Linked DNA regions of Arabidopsis thaliana. The protein of the gene in region 1 interacts with the protein of each later gene in a pairwise test. Each region holds a gene or a part of one and is shown in the gene's direction. Other genes may lie near its edges.

What was found. The genes of interacting proteins can lie anywhere in the genome.
Region 2: the proteins of AT3G10040 (region 1) and RAP2.12 interact in a two-hybrid assay, tested with the Arabidopsis thaliana proteins (one study listed by BioGRID).

What each region holds. Positions count from the first base shown.
Region 1 is NC_003074.8:3,095,176-3,100,925, reverse strand, and holds AT3G10040 (sequence-specific DNA binding transcription factor), read left to right. Parts: upstream 1-2,508; 5' UTR 2,509-3,050; coding exon 3,051-4,346; 3' UTR 4,347-4,581; downstream 4,582-5,750. Other genes in the region: OMR1 (L-O-methylthreonine resistant 1), read left to right, coding at 1-237, 385-591, 684-932, 1,011-1,081, 1,166-1,283, 1,402-1,536, 1,622-1,762.
Region 2 is NC_003070.9:20,133,289-20,138,242, forward strand, and holds RAP2.12 (uncharacterized protein), read left to right. Parts: upstream 1-1,555; 5' UTR 1,556-1,953; coding exon 1,954-2,248; intron 2,249-2,511; coding exon 2,512-3,293; 3' UTR 3,294-3,725; downstream 3,726-4,954. Other genes in the region: GLIP5 (GDSL-motif lipase 5), read left to right, coding at 4,437-4,737, 4,827-4,951. UniProt on the Arabidopsis thaliana protein: Transcription factor involved in the activation of hypoxic gene expression and in ethylene response. Partially redundant with RAP2-2. Acts as a downstream regulator in the ethylene signaling pathway.

The sequences.
Region 1 (5,750 bases):
GTTCTTTTCGGAGATTCGTATGATCAAGCACAAGCACATGCTAAGATACGAGCTGAAGAAGAGGGTCTGACGTTTATACCTCCTTTTGATCACCCTGATGTTATTGCTGGACAAGGGACTGTTGGGATGGAGATCACTCGTCAGGCTAAGGGTCCATTGCATGCTATATTTGTGCCAGTTGGTGGTGGTGGTTTAATAGCTGGTATTGCTGCTTATGTGAAGAGGGTTTCTCCCGAGGTACTCTTTTTGCTGTGACTGCTTTGGCAATGTCACCTTCTGTTCTGTTGTTGTTAATAACAGCTACTTGTGACAAAATCCAGAATTTTAATTAAGAAATGAGTTCCTTCAGCTTCTGTTTCTTATTGTGACTTTTGGGTTATGCAGGTGAAGATCATTGGTGTAGAACCAGCTGACGCAAATGCAATGGCTTTGTCGCTGCATCACGGTGAGAGGGTGATATTGGACCAGGTTGGGGGATTTGCAGATGGTGTAGCAGTTAAAGAAGTTGGTGAAGAGACTTTTCGTATAAGCAGAAATCTAATGGATGGTGTTGTTCTTGTCACTCGTGATGCTATTTGTGCATCAATAAAGGTATGGTACTATCCTTGATACGTTATCCCTTGTCAGACGGTGTTTGGCATATGCATACTGAATTGTAGATAATCAGATACTTGTCTCTACAGGATATGTTTGAGGAGAAACGGAACATATTGGAACCAGCAGGGGCTCTTGCACTCGCTGGAGCTGAGGCATACTGTAAATATTATGGCCTAAAGGACGTGAATGTCGTAGCCATAACCAGTGGCGCTAACATGAACTTTGACAAGCTAAGGATTGTGACAGAACTCGCCAATGTCGGTAGGCAACAGGAAGCTGTTCTTGCTACTCTCATGCCGGAAAAACCTGGAAGCTTTAAGCAATTTTGTGAGCTGGTGTGTGTTTGGTATTATAGCATATAGTAGTTAATCACATTACAGAGTGTATGTAAGACAAAACATTAATGGGTGCAGGTTGGACCAATGAACATAAGCGAGTTCAAATATAGATGTAGCTCGGAAAAGGAGGCTGTTGTACTATACAGGTAAGGCCATTCCTGAAAAATTCCTTCCTTCCCGAGTAGTTTATTCATCCTCTAATCTGCAAAATTTTGTAAATTGTTGTATAGTGTCGGAGTTCACACAGCTGGAGAGCTCAAAGCACTACAGAAGAGAATGGAATCTTCTCAACTCAAAACTGTCAATCTCACTACCAGTGACTTAGTGAAAGATCACCTGCGTTACTTGGTGCGTCCTTGATTGATTTCTCTCTGTGCTTATTTCTCCTTTAGGATTACTAGATTTCCAATTCATTCCCATTGGTTGATGCAAAGTTGTCATGTGAATCACACTTTATACATATCAGATGGGAGGAAGATCTACTGTTGGAGACGAGGTTCTATGCCGATTCACCTTTCCCGAGAGACCTGGTGCTCTAATGAACTTCTTGGACTCTTTCAGTCCACGGTGGAACATCACCCTTTTCCATTACCGTGGACAGGTTTGTTTCCCATTTCACCATAAAAATGTTTTAATGGAACTTCGAGTCTCCTCCTTACTATACAATCTTCCTTCTTTCAAAAAAGGGTGAGACGGGCGCGAATGTGCTGGTCGGGATCCAAGTCCCCGAGCAAGAAATGGAGGAATTTAAAAACCGAGCTAAAGCTCTTGGATACGACTACTTCTTAGTAAGTGATGACGACTATTTTAAGCTTCTGATGCACTGAGTTTGAAGCTGTGGTGGATAATCCAAATCTCAGGAAGAAGAAGAACCCATGAGAGTCTTCCTCGTGATCATGGTTGTTCTTGAGATTCTTTAGTCTGTTTTCTCTCGGGTCTGTGTCTGTCGGATGAGCGTTTTAGCCACTGTAGTTCAATGAGTAACCTCTATTTGCTACGAACTCTCATTCCTAGATCGTGGGTTACCTTTTGGTTTCTCCAAGCAATTTGAGGCTAGCCTCCAATAAAAAATAGTATTTCTAGTATTTGAAAAAACGCTACTTTCGTGGTATAGAGAAAGATAAAGAGAGAGAGAGAGAGAGAGAGAGAGAGAGAGAGAGAGAGAGAGAGAGAGAGAGAGAGAGAGATGCTCTTGATATTGCTCTTGATACAACTCTATTATTATTGCTCTTAATCCATAATGAAAGTGCTTTATGAATTGTAATTATATGATGCTTAATTATATGATGGTTAATTGGTAACTGATTTTCAACGAGAAAAAGTGTTTGTCCCTGTATCTAGCTTTCTAACTCGGTTTACAAGCCTAATTTTGTTCTGTTGTGTACCAAATCGATCATTTTTGGTTGTCTCAGTTTAAGATTGGTCTGACTCTCAGTTTAAGGCTGGCAAAAAAGTCACAATCATTACGCGGTTAAACAGTTACTATATTTGGTTGTTTAATCGATGTTTTAAACCGTTTTTCAATAATGATTGATATTTGTTTTATTTTATTGTATGCAGATTTCAGATTTGTATGATATAAATAAAAAAGTTGTGAAATCAAAAAAGCAGATACTGTTTTTCATTTATTTGTGAAAAAATTTAAGAAAAAAATCTTATGAAAAGTTAGGTTGGATTTTTATTATTGGCAGAAAGGTAAAAACAGTGGCCAAAAAAAGGCAGCTCCATTGGTTTTGCCAAAACCAGCCCCTTGGTTTAGGCTTGATTTGTAATCCCAAAAAGGAAACAAAACTTTAAAAACCACAAAACCATGGGCAGTTTTCAGATCATCCCTTTGACGGCTCCCAAAACCACTGCTCTCCTCTCTTCTCTGTATATTACTCTCTTTCTCTTCCTTTGACTCCAATCCCGAAACCACTTCACCAAAAAACATCTTCAACACAAACTAAACAAAACTTAAAAGTAAGAACTCGAAGATACTGTACTTACAAATTCCTGTCGGAATTCTCTTACTTCGTCGGAAATTCGAAATCTGGGTTTGTGGGATTCCGTGTTGATTTATCTACCATTGTTTCCAAGTTTCAATTTTTTATCCAATTTAGGGTTCAGTGTTTGATGGAATCGAATGTGATGTTCTCTGGGTTTAGTCCAAGAATGTTGAGCTTAGAAATGCCGCAAAATCCACCAAATCCCCAAAATTCAATTCAGTTCCAGCATCCTCATCCTTACACCACCTCCGGCGACCAACAAACTCAGCCGCCGATAAAATCCTTATACCCATACGCCTCAAAACCCAAACAAATGTCACCCATTAGCGGTGGCGGTTGCGACGACGAGGATCGCGGGTCGGGTTCCGGATCCGGTTGCAACCCTGAAGACAGCGCGGGAACTGACGGGAAGAGGAAATTGTCACAATGGCATAGAATGAAATGGACGGATACAATGGTTAGGCTTTTGATCATGGCGGTTTTCTACATCGGTGACGAAGCTGGTTTAAACGATCCAGTCGACGCCAAGAAAAAGACCGGCGGTGGCGGTGGCGGCGGAGGAGGAGGAGGGATGTTGCAGAAGAAAGGGAAGTGGAAATCAGTGTCGAGAGCTATGGTGGAGAAAGGTTTCTCTGTGTCACCACAACAATGTGAAGACAAGTTCAATGATTTGAACAAGAGGTACAAGAGAGTTAACGATATTCTTGGTAAAGGAATCGCTTGTCGTGTCGTTGAGAATCAAGGATTGTTAGAGAGTATGGATCATTTGACTCCGAAGTTGAAAGATGAAGTCAAGAAGTTGCTTAATTCTAAGCATCTTTTCTTTAGAGAGATGTGTGCTTATCATAATAGTTGTGGTCATCTTGGTGGTCATGACCAACAACCACCGCAACAGAATCCTATTTCGATTCCGATTCCGAGTCAGCAGCAGAACTGTTTTCACGCGGCGGAAGCAGGGAAAATGGCGAGAATTGCGGAGAGGGTGGAGGTGGAGGAGGAAGTAGAGTCTGATATGGCGGAGGATTCGGAGTCAGAGATGGAGGAATCAGAGGAAGAAGAGACGAGGAAGAAGCGGAGGATATCGACGGCGGTGAAGAGGTTGAGGGAAGAAGCGGCAAGTGTAGTGGAAGATGTTGGGAAGAGTGTGTGGGAGAAGAAAGAGTGGATAAGGAGAAAGATGTTGGAGATTGAGGAGAAGAAGATTGGGTATGAGTGGGAAGGAGTGGAGATGGAGAAGCAGAGAGTGAAGTGGATGAGATATAGGAGCAAGAAAGAGAGAGAGATGGAGAAGGCTAAGCTTGACAATCAGAGACGGAGGCTTGAGACGGAGAGGATGATTCTCATGTTACGGCGGAGTGAAATTGAGTTGAATGAGTTACAGTCTTCGGGTACACGGGTTGACCCGAGTTCCGCTAAGGGGTGATGCTGATTAGTATTTAGGATTAGAGATTTTTTACAACTTTGTAGTTTCTAATGTTAGGATTCTCACGTTTTAGTGACATTAGGCAGTAAATTAAATCTTAAAAGTATGTACTATTGTAGACAAAAGGTCTTTAATCAGCAAATTGATTAAGCATGTCTACTTTTGTAGTTTCAATTTTCGAATAAGGATTCTCTCACGCTGTCAATATTTAAGTGGTTAATTGGTAAAAGTGAGAAGAAATTAATCAATCGTACAAAGGTTAACACACATACTAAGGGAAAAAAAAAATGACACACCCGGTGGGACTCGAACCCACAATCGTTTGATTAGAAGTCAAACGCCTTATCCATTAGGCCACGGGTGCTCTGCTTGCACTAGAGTATTGAGAAAACATTAAGAAACATAATTACAATCAGTAAAACTACCCACGGCCCACGGGCGATCCTCGTTTATTTAAAGAATATATGTTTCTCTATTTAATAATTTACCCTTCAAAGCATCACAATGGAGAGTTTTTCTTCTATTTTTAACCAACTAGAGTTTTGTGTACAAGTAGTTATTAAAGATATAATTCAAGAACTGTTATGATATTTGTAAGAAGAAGAGATTTTCTATTATAAATACTTGAGTGAAAGTTTAGGTAGGTTACACAATGTCAATAATGTGACAAAGATTATTTGAGATGATAGAACACAAAAAAATATCATACCATACCACTATATTCCATTTCCATCTAGTGTTTGAGCAGATATTCTGCTTTGTACATGTTTCTTGCACCTACAATAAGATTCAAAAGTTTAATTAGATACCATTGGAACTATAGCGATAGTTGCAGTTTTCTCTAAAGTTTTCCTATAACATATTTTCGGACATATGGTAGGAGCATCTGGAAGATTATGAGGATCAACAAATAGCGGAAAACAAATTACTGTATACACATTGCTTTCAAAAACCAAACAATCTTCGTCAAATGAATTTTGTAACTTTTGCTGAATATGATACCAAGTGGAGTCCAATGACAAACAATCTCCGGTATGAATTTAGTGTCGTACGTGAAGTATATATAAGTTACAAATCATGTCTTTAGAACAAATGATGGAAAGTGATATATCATATATACAGTGAGACACGATGCGATCAATCAAACGACCAAATTAAAAAAAAAAATTAGTAACATAATTATGACTCGTTGTTATATCTAAAAATGACAGGAAAACATTGGACTAAACCATTTTTTTCAGTTTTAATTGTTGTAACACCTGTTTCCAACGTTTTATATTGATAGTATTAATTATTTTCTTCGTTCACCCGTTACATCAATTGAAAATTGAATTGTTATCATCAAAGGTTTTATAATTTTATAAATTTTAATCTTACAAAGACAAAATCATTATGGGAATATAT
Region 2 (4,954 bases), on another chromosome or scaffold:
TATGTATGGGAGATATTTTAAATGTATGTGACAGGGACATAGACACTCTTTGGTTGAGAAGATATGAACAACTCATTTAGTCACGTGTTGAATATGTACAGGCCAAAATACTGTATTTTAAACAATTGGAATTATTGTTTTACTTGTCAAGTGATCACTTTGTTCAACCCAATTCCCCAACTAATTTATTGTTTTATAGTGTCACACTGTCACGAGTAACTAAGCAGGTTCGTGGTCTCGGCCCAATTAAAAGGCCAATCAATTAAACTAAATGCAAGTGCCTATAACTCGACCTATGAAGCCCACTATCTTAGCGATTCGGCCCAAAAAGACAACTTGCCTTGTGTAAAATGATTTCACTTTGTATCCATCCAATGATTCCAATTAATGAGAAGTTATGTTCAGATTTAAGAATTCCAGTTAGTGAACAAAAAATCAACTACTGGAATTTGTTTTGCTTCTTATAAATTTGGTTAGAAAAACAAAACATAAGGTTTATATCTATAAACACAAAGAAATTGTACTAATGTACAGTTCCGAAACGAGTATAGTCAATTATTAAAAGTTAAAATAGTGAAACAAATAATTGCTCCATGAATGACATATTGACATCATTATCTGTTTCTTTGAGATAAGCTAATTTAGGAACTTGTCTCAATCCTGTAAAATGATTTGGACCCTACCTATTTTATTCATCTGTCTTTCTTTGCGTTCACAATTTGATCTTAATATATAAATATATAGTACATGATTGCACTAATATATATATATATATATATATATATATATATTATATGTAGTATAACTATACACGTATGAAGTTGAATTTTATAAAATAAAATTTTCTTTTAACTGAATTTCCAATAGTTGTTTATACATAATTTAGAAAGTTGCAACCATAAAATATATTTCACCATAAAACAACAAAATATGGTTTCCACGTACACATACACATAACACATACCTACTGAATATTCCGTAATTTACGATGCCTGATAATTTGGACCTAATAAAGTTAGTTAAGAGTAAACAGAATTACAAGGAAATTTTAAATTGAGTTTAAGAAAACTAGTAATTGATTTGGAATGCTAGTTATCAAACAAAAGGACAAATATATTTTTCGGATTATTTTTAATAACTTTTTTGTTTGTCACGAAACGACAAAAGCTTTGTCATAAAAACCAAATCCTATCAACTTGCTCAAAAAGCTTCAATAATATCGTACGTGTCCTGCACACGCAGATTCATAAATGTGTTTCTATGCTTTTACAATTTTAGCCTTATGCATAACAGCATAAGGTCTTAATGGTCCTCTCTCCTAATCAAAATTACATTCAAAAGTTGTTGTATAGTTTTTCATTATATTTTCAATAATTCATTTATTTTGTGCCTATGTTAAAACATTTTCATAATTCATTTATAATATTATTTAAATTTAAATGTTAAATATCTGTTCTGCGTTGGCTACTCCTGAATGCAAACAACATTGCAAAAGTATTTAGTTGTGTTTTTAATGCCTAATCACATTAATAGATACTAGATCTAAGGGAAATAGACTTTATGAAAAAATCAATTGACGTTAGGTAAAAATTTGTTTAGACTATTTTTGTCTACCAGCAGACAACTCTGACTAAATTTTTAATCTTATTTACTGCAACTAACTATTAATAAACTAATAAAATCCTAATTTACAATATAGATCTACAGTAAATGAATATAAAAGTCTGGTAGTACCGTAAATAGTACATCAAGATAAGGGTATAATAGTAAACAACCATCGTACTCGCTTCATCTTTTATTTTACTCTAAAATCTCTTTCTGAAGAAAACAACAAAGCAAAGCGTTGAAGAGAGAAGAAGAAGCAAAGATATAACCCCCAAAAGTATCAATTAGTTTCCATTTTCGCCGCTAAGATTCTGTTTTCGAACATTTACACCCTCAAGAATCGCCGCCATGTGTGGAGGAGCTATAATATCCGATTTCATTCCACCGCCGAGGTCTCGCCGTGTTACTAGCGAGTTTATTTGGCCGGATCTGAAGAAGAATTTGAAAGGATCGAAGAAAAGCTCGAAGAATCGTTCGAATTTCTTCGATTTTGACGCTGAGTTCGAAGCTGATTTCCAAGGTTTCAAAGATGATTCGTCTATCGATTGCGATGATGATTTCGACGTCGGTGATGTTTTCGCCGATGTGAAACCATTCGTTTTCACTTCGACTCCAAAACCCGCCGTCTCCGCCGCTGCGGAAGGTAAATATTTAGGGATTGACTTTAGTTTGAGCGATTGAATTGGTTAGAAATTAAGTTTCGATTCTATTTAGCTCTGTTCATAGATACCTTTATCTGCTTACGATTTTGATTGTTGTATAAAGCATGAGGTTTGATTTGTGTGATATTTATATGCATATGAGGTTGAGTGATGAGACTTGATTTGTGTGATGAGATTTGATTAGAGATTGTTGATGAGTTATTTATAGAAGAACTCTTTTGTTTTGTTGTTGTTTCACTACTAGGTTCAGTTTTTGGTAAGAAAGTTACTGGCTTGGATGGGGACGCTGAGAAATCTGCAAATAGGAAGAGGAAGAATCAGTACCGAGGGATTAGGCAACGTCCTTGGGGAAAATGGGCTGCTGAGATACGTGATCCAAGGGAAGGTGCTAGAATCTGGCTTGGAACGTTCAAGACAGCTGAGGAAGCTGCTAGAGCTTACGATGCTGCAGCGCGGAGAATCCGTGGATCTAAAGCTAAGGTGAATTTCCCTGAAGAAAACATGAAGGCTAATTCTCAGAAACGCTCTGTGAAGGCTAATCTTCAGAAACCAGTGGCTAAACCTAACCCTAACCCAAGTCCAGCTTTGGTTCAGAACTCGAACATCTCCTTTGAAAATATGTGTTTCATGGAGGAGAAACACCAAGTGAGCAACAACAACAACAACCAGTTTGGGATGACAAACTCCGTTGATGCTGGATGTAATGGGTATCAGTATTTCAGCTCTGACCAGGGTAGTAATTCTTTCGATTGTTCGGAGTTTGGTTGGAGCGATCAAGCTCCGATAACTCCCGACATCTCTTCTGCGGTTATCAACAACAACAACTCAGCTCTGTTCTTTGAGGAAGCCAATCCAGCTAAGAAGCTCAAGTCTATGGATTTCGAGACACCTTACAACAACACTGAATGGGACGCTTCACTGGATTTCCTCAACGAAGATGCTGTAACGACTCAGGACAATGGTGCAAACCCTATGGACCTATGGAGTATTGATGAAATTCATTCCATGATTGGAGGAGTCTTCTGAAGAGATCCAGTTTCATGTAAATAAGGCTGCATGTTTGTGAGTTTCCCGCATCGTTCGTTTATCAACCTCCAAAACTTTCTAATGTCTGTTACTTGCATCTTCTTCTGCTGTCTCTGTCTGTCTCTCTCAGGAGTTCCTGTTTGCATTGCGAGAAGCCATGAGCCTCTATCTTGAGGGTAGTTGTGATGAAGTTAAGTAGAGGCTTATTTTTAGGGGTTGTGGTAGTTTTTGTTTTAGTGAATCTTTTGAATTCGTTTGTGTTTTGTTTTTGTTACTTTATGCCCCAAAACTCCTTTAACATTTGTCATAATGTGTTTGAACCTCTCATCTGTTTAATCAAATAAATCTTCTTTGTATGCTACTAAGAGTATGTGAGAACTGTTGAACATAACAAAGAAGTCACAAGCTAAGTTTGAACCAAACCGGTTCTCGTAAATTTGTGATCAGAAAAAAAGCGGTGATCAACTGATCATCAAAGTGATTGCCTAGAGAAGTGCGCCACTTTTGTTATTTTGTGGTACAATGAATCTAGAGGGAACAAACGTTGAAACGACGACGTTAAACGACAGAAGAATCTCTAAAGGTTGAACTCTCTTTTTGCAAGTGGTAACTGGTGAGTTTGTGTCTTTCTCGTGACCGTTTCCTTATGATAACAGAAAATAAAAGAGAGTAAATTAACTCTTCTGGACAGTTCTGCTTCTTTAGGTCATTTTCACTCTGTATAAATATCTAAGCATTAGCACACATTCTTTATTTTTTACTGAAACATATTTATATGTATTTGGTAATTTAATCTACTGATTTTTCATATAAATTGTTGTTAGTTACCGTATTACTGTCAAAATGTAGCCCAAAATGTAAGTGTCAAGGTGCTTTGAGTTGTGTGATGACAAGTTTGACATAACATTTGGTTTCTCCTATTATTGTGAAGAAATGAAATTATCTTATGGTGATACTTGCATTAATATTACTAATCAAACCATTTGACTTCTTTTCAAAAGTCTTTGTATATAAGTGTGGACACACATTTTATATCATAAATAAATACATAGTCTTGTCGACATGTCTATAAGTTAGATTTAAAAAGCAAATGATTTGGTCTATATAACACACACATCACGAGTCTTTAGAATTTTGTGGTGAATGAGAGAGTCAACTTTAATGGAGAAAGTCACAAGGAGAACTATCTCCTCCTTCATCTTCTTTATCGTCTCTTCTACCATTCTTTTTCTCGCCGGAAAATCCTCGGCCAAAATTTCTCATAACGGTGACAATAATGTGACGGCCTTGTTCCTCTTTGGAGACTCTTTCTTGGATGCAGGAAACAATAATTACATTAACACCACTACACTTGACCAAGCCAATTTTCCACCTTATGGTCAAACATTCTTTGGCCTCCCCACCGGAAGATTCTCCGACGGTCGTCTCATCTCTGATTTCATTGGTGAGAAGATTATATTTCTTATTATTCATATATTAGCTCGTGGTCTTATTTAAAGATATAATATTGACGGAAATGTACGTTAATGATAGCGGAATATGCGAATTTGCCGTTAATTCCGCCGTTTTTGGAACCGGGAAATAGTCAAAAGAAGCTTTACGGCGTCAACTTTGCGTCTGCTGGTGCTGGTGCTCTTGTGGAAACGTTCCAAGGTTCGGTA